2 linked regions of the Oryctolagus cuniculus genome follow. The protein of the gene in region 1 purifies or fractionates together with the protein of each later gene. This does not show direct contact. Links are inferred from orthologs where the notes say so. Each region holds a gene or a part of one and is shown in the gene's direction. Other genes may lie near its edges. The genes, in order: ASPH and LRRC59.

The links.
Region 2: the proteins of ASPH (region 1) and LRRC59 purify together in Homo sapiens (co-immunoprecipitation; 3 studies listed by BioGRID and IntAct, with this or other methods). This does not show direct contact. The link is inferred for Oryctolagus cuniculus from reciprocal best matches to the Homo sapiens genes ASPH and LRRC59.

What each region holds. Positions count from the first base shown.
Region 1 is NC_091437.1:87,148,601-87,152,975, reverse strand, and holds the start of ASPH (aspartyl/asparaginyl beta-hydroxylase), read left to right. Parts: upstream 1-1,502; 5' UTR 1,503-1,517; coding exon 1,518-2,456; intron 2,457-4,375.
Region 2 is NC_091448.1:26,317,045-26,321,521, reverse strand, and holds the start of LRRC59 (leucine-rich repeat-containing protein 59), read left to right. Parts: upstream 1-1,563; 5' UTR 1,564-1,823; coding exon 1,824-1,928; intron 1,929-3,496; coding exon 3,497-3,556; intron 3,557-4,477.

The sequences.
Region 1 (4,375 bases):
GCTCCTGTATAAAGGAATTCATGGATCCAAGGCAATCTTTGTGTTGTCAATATTCATAAAAGCAGGAAGCATAGACAGATATAAAATGCATAATTCTAATACTAGGCTCAGGGGAATTGGGTCCCTGGAACTCAACTGCACAAGTACACGCAGCCAACAGGACCTGCCATTGTAAATATTGTTGATACATTTTGTTTTATTTTATAATTTTTATTTTGTAATGCTGAGTGTATAAATGTCATTACAGCTGTTTGTGGTCTAGGGAGGAACTAGGTGGCCACTTCCTTCTTGTGATCTGTACTTACAAAGCCTCTGTGGTGGCCTGGTGCTGCCTCAGGTGCACAGCAGTGCACCTTGTCAGTTCTGGGTTGAGTTTCTGGAAATGTAGGAGCAATGCAGCATTACTTCATGGCCTCTTGGTGTCAGCGACTGAAGACATTTAATTTCTTTGCAAGGTGGACTTTGATAAGCCACCACTTTGCGTTTCAGGCCTATCTTTGCGGGTAGGACCTATAAGGTTTAAGGGGGCAAGGGTATTTGCTAAGGGAAGAGGGAGCCAGTTGGACATTCTCCACTCAGAAGGAAGCCTCTTCCAGGAAGAAAGATTTGGACTGTAGACTCTCGGCCAGATCAACTGATTTCACATCCGTGACCTCACTTGGATCTCGCAGAACCTCCAGTTTCCTCAGCCAGAAAATGTGGACACATAGCATGGCTTTGTGAGAACTCAAGAGTTAAAATATCTTGGGGTCTGAGAGCACTGTTTTCTTGTTTGTTTCTGTGTTTGCAGGTTAGGTGTCATTGCTATTTCATATTGACCACCATCACTCAGATTTGTCTCATTGCCCAATGCCCTCAACTCTCGTTGAGATAATGTCATAGGGCGTTGCCTGAATGAATGCATGGCTGTGTTGGGGGAAAGAAGGCTATGCCATAAAAACTGAAAGAGACGCTTCAGGTAAACTCAGTCAGCGCCCCTGGGCCTGCCTCCCTCTCTCTCTCTCTCTCTCTCTCTCTCTCTCTCTCTCTCTCTCTCGTCTGTGTGTGTGTCTCTGGAGAAAAGAAAGTAAACGGAGGCCACGCAGCACCAGCTCTGCCCTCTCCAGCTTCTGCCTGAACCCTCCCGACACACTCCCAGAAGGTGCTGCAAAACACTGCCAAGACCTGGGGGAAAGCCTTAGGAAGTTGACAGACTTAACAAATCAACAAACATTTCTTGGGCACAGGGTGCGCAATTGGCGACACAAAGGTGATAGTGACGCTGCCAGTGCCGGTCTGGTTCAGCCAGGAGCTCAGACATTTTTAACGTCCTGTCCCGAATTCTGAAGCCACTGCAGGTCTAAGGCACCCTTCGAGTTCGCAAGAGGGGCCTGAGACTTGGGGACACGGAAGAATGATAACGTAGGCATTGGCCTGGCTGCGTGAGATTTCCGATCCTGGGTGCCGTCCAGGGTAAGAAAGATAACCTCCTGCGTCATATGCACCTTCCCATGTCTTAACTTTCTCTGAAAACACGGATGGCAAATCCCTGCTTTAACCCTGAACGGACCCAAGACCACGGGGTAAGCGCTGGACTAGCCCCGACCCAATTTCTGATGCGCCCTCACGTTAACACTGGTAAGAAACAGGCAGCTCTTCCCCAAGAAGCGGGATGGCATTTCTCGGCATCTGTGGGAAGGGGGCCCGGGACAAATCAGGCCAAGAGGCGGCGCATTCCGCCAGGCATCGGCACACGTGTCCCCCTACCCCGGCGCCCCGGCCCGCCCCCGCGCTCCGCCCCATCCAGATCTAGCCGGGTCCGCCAACGCTCGCGAGAATCCGCTCGGCTGCTACGCTTGCCACGTTCCAAAGGACCGAGACAGCCTGGAAAGCTGAAGGCGGCTCGAGCTCACAGGCTGCGGCGCCGCGCCAGAACAGCTCCAAGTCTGCAGGGGGCGGGCAAGCGCGGCAGGGTCCGGCCCCCTCATAGTGGCGCTTGCGATTGGCTCGTAGCCGTCGTCACTCAACTTCTGTGGGCGGGCCGAGGCCGGGCGGGGGCGTGGCCGAGGGGCGGGGAAGCCGCGCGCGCTCGCCTCCGTAGGGAGTCACAGGTTCGGCGCACGCGAGGGCCTGGCGCGCGCAACCTGCACGCGGGCGAAAGTCCTCGGAGGCGCGGCGGGAGGTGCGGAGGCACTGACGCTGCTGCAGGAGCCCCGGCCCGCGCCGATCCAGCGCCCGCTGCCGTCGGCCGCCCCCCAAGATTCCCCAACACTGAGGAAGACTCCCCCTTCCTCGCCCCCAGTCCTCGCCAGCCCCCGCGGAACGCGCCATGGCCCCGCGCAAGAATGCCAAGGGCGGCGGCGGCGGCTTCACCACCACGAGCAGCAGCAGCAGCAGCGGCTCCAGCAGCAGCGGCGGCGGCGGCGGCACGAGCACTAGCAGCAGCATCGGCAGCTGCAGCACCAGCACTCGGAGAGGTCAGAGGCCCTGCGGGGCGGGGTCCGGCGCTGCGGTCCATCTCCCCGGGTGCCCCGTCCTCCGTGGCGTGTCGTACCTCCTCTTGGCGCGCGGGGCGGAGGCCGCGCTCGCGGGGCCTGGCGAGCTGGAGGGCCAAGGGGGCGGAGCGGGGTCCGCGCCCTCGGGTGGGTCTCCCCGTGCTGCCCACACCTGCAGGGCGCAGCCGAGCTGGCCGTTACGTGTCAACTCTTTCTTGGCTGTCAGTGGAATTGAAGCCGGGAGTAGGCGAACAGTTCATCGTTGCCCTGCATACTCGGGTTGTGGGGACTTTGAAAATGTGCCAAAGTCAGGGAAAGTTGAGTTCCTGCCTAACCAGCATCGTTTAAGAGCAACTCAAAGGAGGACTATTAGGGGGATGGAAGTTGGGGAGCGGGGATTGGGAGTGATTTGAATGTCCTTGGAAATTACCTGAAATGTTTTTGCTTTTTTATAGCTTTTTCACATGAGTTGTAGTTACCTTTAAAATATCAACGGATGCCATGAAATAGCTCATGAGCTTCTATTTTTTCCTAAAATCAACCACATATTCACCTTTCTCTCTCCTTGTGCTTACCGAACAAGAACAGATGTTTTAAATCTGTTTCGTCTCATATTTCAGTGGTTCTGTTTCTTTTATATTCCCTTTGACTCATATTTAGGATACTGAAACTGGAATGCACATGTGTGTTGAATGTGAACAACAAACCTCCCTTGGGATAGTTTAGACTGTTGCTGAGCGCTAAATGCAGGGCATTCATGTATATCTGAAAATAACATAACTCCGGTTATGCTTCACAGAACTATTTCCCATATAGCACTTATTTTCATGTGTATTGCTATGGCCTCAATCCCAACTCTTCCTCATTTCTTATCCCCAACTCTTGGTATGATCCTGTCCCATAAGAAGTGCTCAAATATTTGATTAGCAAGCGAATGAATAGTTGGGGTGAAAGTACTGCAGTTAAAGCCATTGCACACATTTAAGTTCAAGAACTCATGTTTGCATTCCAAATGGGAAGACACACACAGTTTGGGGTTCAAAACCAGCCTCATAATTCACCTTTGATTTAAGTAATCTTTTGTGTTCCTTTTCCTTTTGTCTTTAAATGTCAGTTAAACACAGCCCCTCTGGGTCTGGAGCTTCACTTTTTAATATTTCTAAGTGAGAAGAACCCTGTGTGCTGCCTGAGCACCAAGCAGAGGAAGTTGTTAAACAAGACATTAAAGTTTTATGTAGTTATTTTCAGGTGAAGCGTATCTTTGTTCTGTCTATCCTGTGAGCTCCCTAGAAGTGATTAGATCTGAGGAAATTATATGGCCTTTTATTGATAAGTTAGTATTGAGAAATGTGTGTTACATTTCCACATCTACCGAATTAATTCTTGAACCATTTTAACAAGGAGTGAATGAGTTTAGGAAACATTAGGACCAAAATTAACTTATTCTGACTTTTCGTCTTCAGGCATTATGAGCAAACTCTGTCCACATTGAGGATCTATAGCCTGTTAAGCATTTGGCACATTGATTCCATAATTATCCTGAAACAGACTTAGCATGCATCAGACACAATATGTAACACAGAGAAAGGTCCTTGTTACAAACAAAGCAAAACAACAGAAACAACACAGAACAAAATAAAAAACAAAACCCCGGAGTTGGTGTTGGAGTCCTGCGTGTTACATAATGAGTATTCTTTTTTCACAGCTATTTGTTTTCCCAGCAAATGAGTTCTGACTGTGTGTGAGGCGGGGAAGGCACTGGGGATGCAAATCAGGAATCTTTCCATCATCCTACACGGATGAAAATGAGTATGTGGAACAAGCAGTAAAACCAACATTTCTTCTATGACTATGATTGTCTGGTCACTGAGGTATAGACAGTTTCTGCTGGGGAAATCATA
Region 2 (4,477 bases), on another chromosome or scaffold:
CTCTCTCTCCCTCTCACTCTCTTTCTCTCTCTCTCTCTCTCTACCTCTCTACCTCTCCTTCTCTCTCTGTGTAATTCTGACTTTCAAATAAATAAATAAATTAAAAAAAAAAGAATACTGTTGCCTGTTACTCTGATGTCAATACACACACACACACACACACCCCACTCACACACACTGCCCTATGCATTCGAATGCAGGTTTTTATCTGTGTGAGGGCACAGATCCTCCTACGTGGTATATAATAATTATTTGCATGGCCTGTAGGGTCCTTCGGGGTAGCAATAACAAAGCGTAGTGAGCAGAAAGAGGACCTGGAATCAAGGGACTTGTGCTCAACCAGCTGTGTGGTGGAGGACAAGTTACTCTGCCTCGCTGGGCCTTGGTTTCTTCCTCCATAAGAGGAGCATTACAATAAAATGTGCCTCGCAGTCTCCTGTTTGTCATCAAAGCAAATTAACGGGTGCCAAAGGACATAGGGATTGCCAAAAGCTAACGTCTCATCATCCACGTGTCCTTGCCTGTCTCCCAGAAGCCCGGCACAGTGCGGAGGCTGGGACCGTGGGTCCTGGTCCAAGGACTGGAGTACTGCCCGACTTCACTGGGTCTTCAAGGCTCCCCTCTGGGACAATAGCCCGTTTCAAGATGAGCAAGCTGAGGTTTGCTGCCTCATTCATTCCTCCCAAAGACATCCGAATGGGCAAATCTCACGCCGGGGCTCAGACTCTGGGGATACAAAGGTGAGTAAGGCACAATCCCCGCCCTCACATTCGGATCCACCAAGAAAAGTGTAACATGAGGCAGACGGCAAATTCTGGATGATGATTAGAGTGCTTCCTGGTTCCTGCCTTAATCTCTTCCCGTGTTTCACTCACTCGACCGCCCACGCGCAACAGCTGGCTAACATTTTAATTCATATTTTTCAGGGACCCACTGATAAGACCAAGGCAGGGCAACAGCAGAGCCAGGAGGCACACCCAGCGTGCCGGGGGCGGGGGTCCCACTTAACCCAAAAGTGCAGACGGCGCTGTGCCAGAGCCCCTGGAGGGCTCCGAACTTAGCCCGGTGTTCAGGGTGGTCAGGGGAGGCTGCCAGGACTGAGGATTAGCTGGGCAGAGAAGCTGGGTAGAGGGAAAGGTGCGTGGGGCACCTGCCCCGGAAGTCTGATGGGCACCAAGGCCAGGCAGGGGCTGCAGCTTGGGAGGAGGCCGCAGAAGCAGGCAGCACCCAGCCCAGGAAGGAGAACAGATTTTCAGAAGGTGAAGATAGATGGGGAACAAGAGGGAAGAGAAATTCAGGAAGTAGAGTTTTCCGGAAGGCGGTGATTTTGCGTGGTTAAGAAGAGGACAGGGAGCTTTTGCTCCTTATTCAAAGGGGTGGGGTCAGATTTGACGGAGTCAGTTTTAGATGCGAACGCAGATCTTCTGCGTGGAGCCAAGGGGACCAGGGCTTCCCGCAGAGAAGCGGAATTCAAAGAGCTTTGCACCCGATCCCAGTGGCGGCGGCGGCGGCGGCACTACACGCCCCTGGACACCAGAGGGCGCACTCGTACAACCTCGAGCCGCTCTGGCCCGGCGCGTCTCGGTGGCCGCGGAAGGTGACGTGGACACGGAAGTGGTCGTCGTCGCGGCGGTACCGGTGGGAGCGGGGCGCGGGGCTCCGAGTGTGGCCGGCGGGCGGACGGGCGGCGGCGGTCTCGCACCGGCGGTGATCGGGGGCGCAGGCGTTGTCGGTTGGCTGCGAGTCCGCCGGACCCTCGAGAGGCTTTTCCTTTTCCCTGCCCGTCGGAAGCCCGGACCCGGGCCCGCTCAGCCGGCGTCATCATGACCAAGGCCGGTAACAAGGGCGGGAATCTCCGCGACAAATTGGACGGCAATGAGCTGGACCTGAGCCTCAGCGACCTGAATGAGGTCCCGGTGAAGGAGCTGGTCAGTACAGCCCCGCTAGGCGCAGGCGCCCCCTTCGCCTGGCAGTGGCCCCCGCGCGGGCCGCCTTCTGTCCCGTGCCTCGGTTTCCCCGTCTTTAAAGCCATGGGGAGGCGGGGGGCGGGGGGCTGAGCCCCCGGGGCGGCCACGTCCGGCTGCAGTGTTCTTCCTGGGATGTACACGTGTCACTTTGGCGCGGCTCCAGAAGATGGGGGAGACCGTCTCTTCTGGCCTTGGGCTCTTCACCAGCCAAGAATGAGTGATGGGGTGGGGGGGTGGGGACTTTCATAGCCCCAGCCGGTGCCCGACCCCAAGCCGAAGCCCACCGAGCGGTTGCTGGCTGTATTGGAAAATGAATGAATGAGTCGGTGTGGGAAAATAGGCCTCCCGGCAGACCTGGGTGTGGCTCGGGACCTGGCAGCCTAGCTGGCTGTCCCAGCCCTCGGGCGACTAGAAACGTGAAGTCTCCCCGGCCAGGCTGGCAAGGTCTCATCCCAACTCCGCCGAAACTGGCGGGAAACCCCCCTCCCCCCACTCTTCCTCCTTTCTTACCCCACAAATTGAAGCCTGCCGTCCTGGGGCGATTACTACCTACTTCGCTGCCTACGTGGGTCTGGAGCCTCGGCCCCAGCCGCCCCCACCGGGAGTGCTAGCTTCCTACACCTTCCTTACTGCGAGTGATGGACGACCCTTGCCTTTAGCAAGGCCCAGTCTTCACCTCACCAGGGCGCTATGTAGTGTGGGGCTTAGCATGGGGTTCCAGCTCACATGGCAGCTTCATCGCTTGCTGGCTGAGTGCCCTTGGCGGCTGGGTAACTCTTGGGCCTAGATCTCCTCACTTATGAAATGGTGATCATCTCTCATTTGCTGGTTGTGACAGTTAAAAGTGCCTGGAAGGTGGCAGGCGCTGACAGATGGACTGTTACCGTGGTTCTTCCCACTGTAGCGGCCAACACTGTCTCGTTTCACCTTCTGACACTTGGAAAGGCAGGTCGGCCGTGGGTCCTTAGTGGCCAGCCTTGTTCCAGACTGGCCCCGGGACTGCTATGGGAAACTGATTTGTCTGGTCAGTGCATCACGGTCTCCTGGGGCGAAAGAAGGGTCAGGTGCGCGGGGCCTCTTCCACCCCAGACACCGTGGGAACATGGAGATGGGCCGTGAGGGCCCCGTTTGCACGCCGGCTCCCGTGTCCTCGTGCACTCTCGGTTGAGCGCCTGCTTCCCGGGAGGGCCCTGAAGTGGGAAGTACGAAAATTGCAGCGCTTTCTGAGACTCGGTCCCTGCCCGCAGCCTCACAAGAGGGGCGCTTGAGAGTTTCGGTGCCGTAGAGAATTCTGAGCACCCAGGTTTTCCTTTCTCTGCTGTTCTGTGGCCAAACCCCTCTTTTTGTTCTGCCTTAGAACTGGCTCAGTTTTTCCTCTCTTATCCCCAGCAACACTGTTCTTCGGTGCCATTAAAAAAAAAAATCCTTTCCTAGTCGTGGGAACTTTCCTGGGAAAATGCTTCACTTGCAGGTGTCCCTGAGCCGTGGCAGGTGCCGACTTGACGTGTTTTTCTCATCTCCTTTCCTAGGCTGCCCTTCCAAAGGCCACCGTCCTGGATCTGTCCTGCAATAAACTCAGTACCCTGCCGGTAAGTGTGGCAAGTGACTCGGCCGGCCCGAGTTCTGGGTGCATCGCCTTCCTGCTGCATACGGGGTTGTGGGGGGATTCATAAGACATAGTTCCAGTATAGGTCTTGCAGGAAGGCGACAGCTGAATCTGAGTGTGTGTTGGGGTGTGCATTTGGGAGGTTGGTTTCCACTGGAAGAGACTTGAGGCCTCATTCTTTAGAACAGTGGAAAAGTCAGGGCACAGAGAACTAAAGGCAACAGGAGGCTGGCTGAATCACTGGACTCATCTTTTTTTTTTTAAGATTTTTTTTTTAAAGATTTATTTATTTATTTGAAAGTCAGAGTTACACAGAGAGAAGGAGAGGCACAGAGAGAGAGAGAGAGAGGTCTTCCATCTAATAGGTCACTCCCCAGTTGGCCACAATGGCCAGAGCTGCGCGATCAGGAGCCAGGAGCTTCTTCCGAGTCTCCCACGTGGGTGCAGGGGCCCAAGGACTTGGGCCATCTTGTACTGCTTTCCCAGGCCATAGCAGAGAGCTGGATTGGAAGTAGAGCAGCTAGGTCTTGAACTGGCGCCCATATGGGATGCTTGTGCTTCAGGCCAGGGCACTAACCCACTGTGCCACAGCACCTGCCCCAAGATTTATTTTATTTAAAAGAGTTAGATTTCGGCTGGCGCCGCAGATCAACAGGCTAATCCTCCACCTTGCGGCACTGGCACACCGGGTTCTAGTCCCGGTTGGGGCACCGGATTCTGTCCCAGTTGCCCCTCTTCCAGGCCAGCTCTCTGCTATGGCCAGAGAGTGCAGTGGAGGATGGCCCAAGTGCTTGGGCCCTGCACCCCATGGGAGACCAGGAGGAAACACCTGGCTCCTGCCTTCGGATCAGCACCGTGCACTGGCCGCAGCGCGCCGGCCGCGGCGGCCATTGGAGGGTGAACC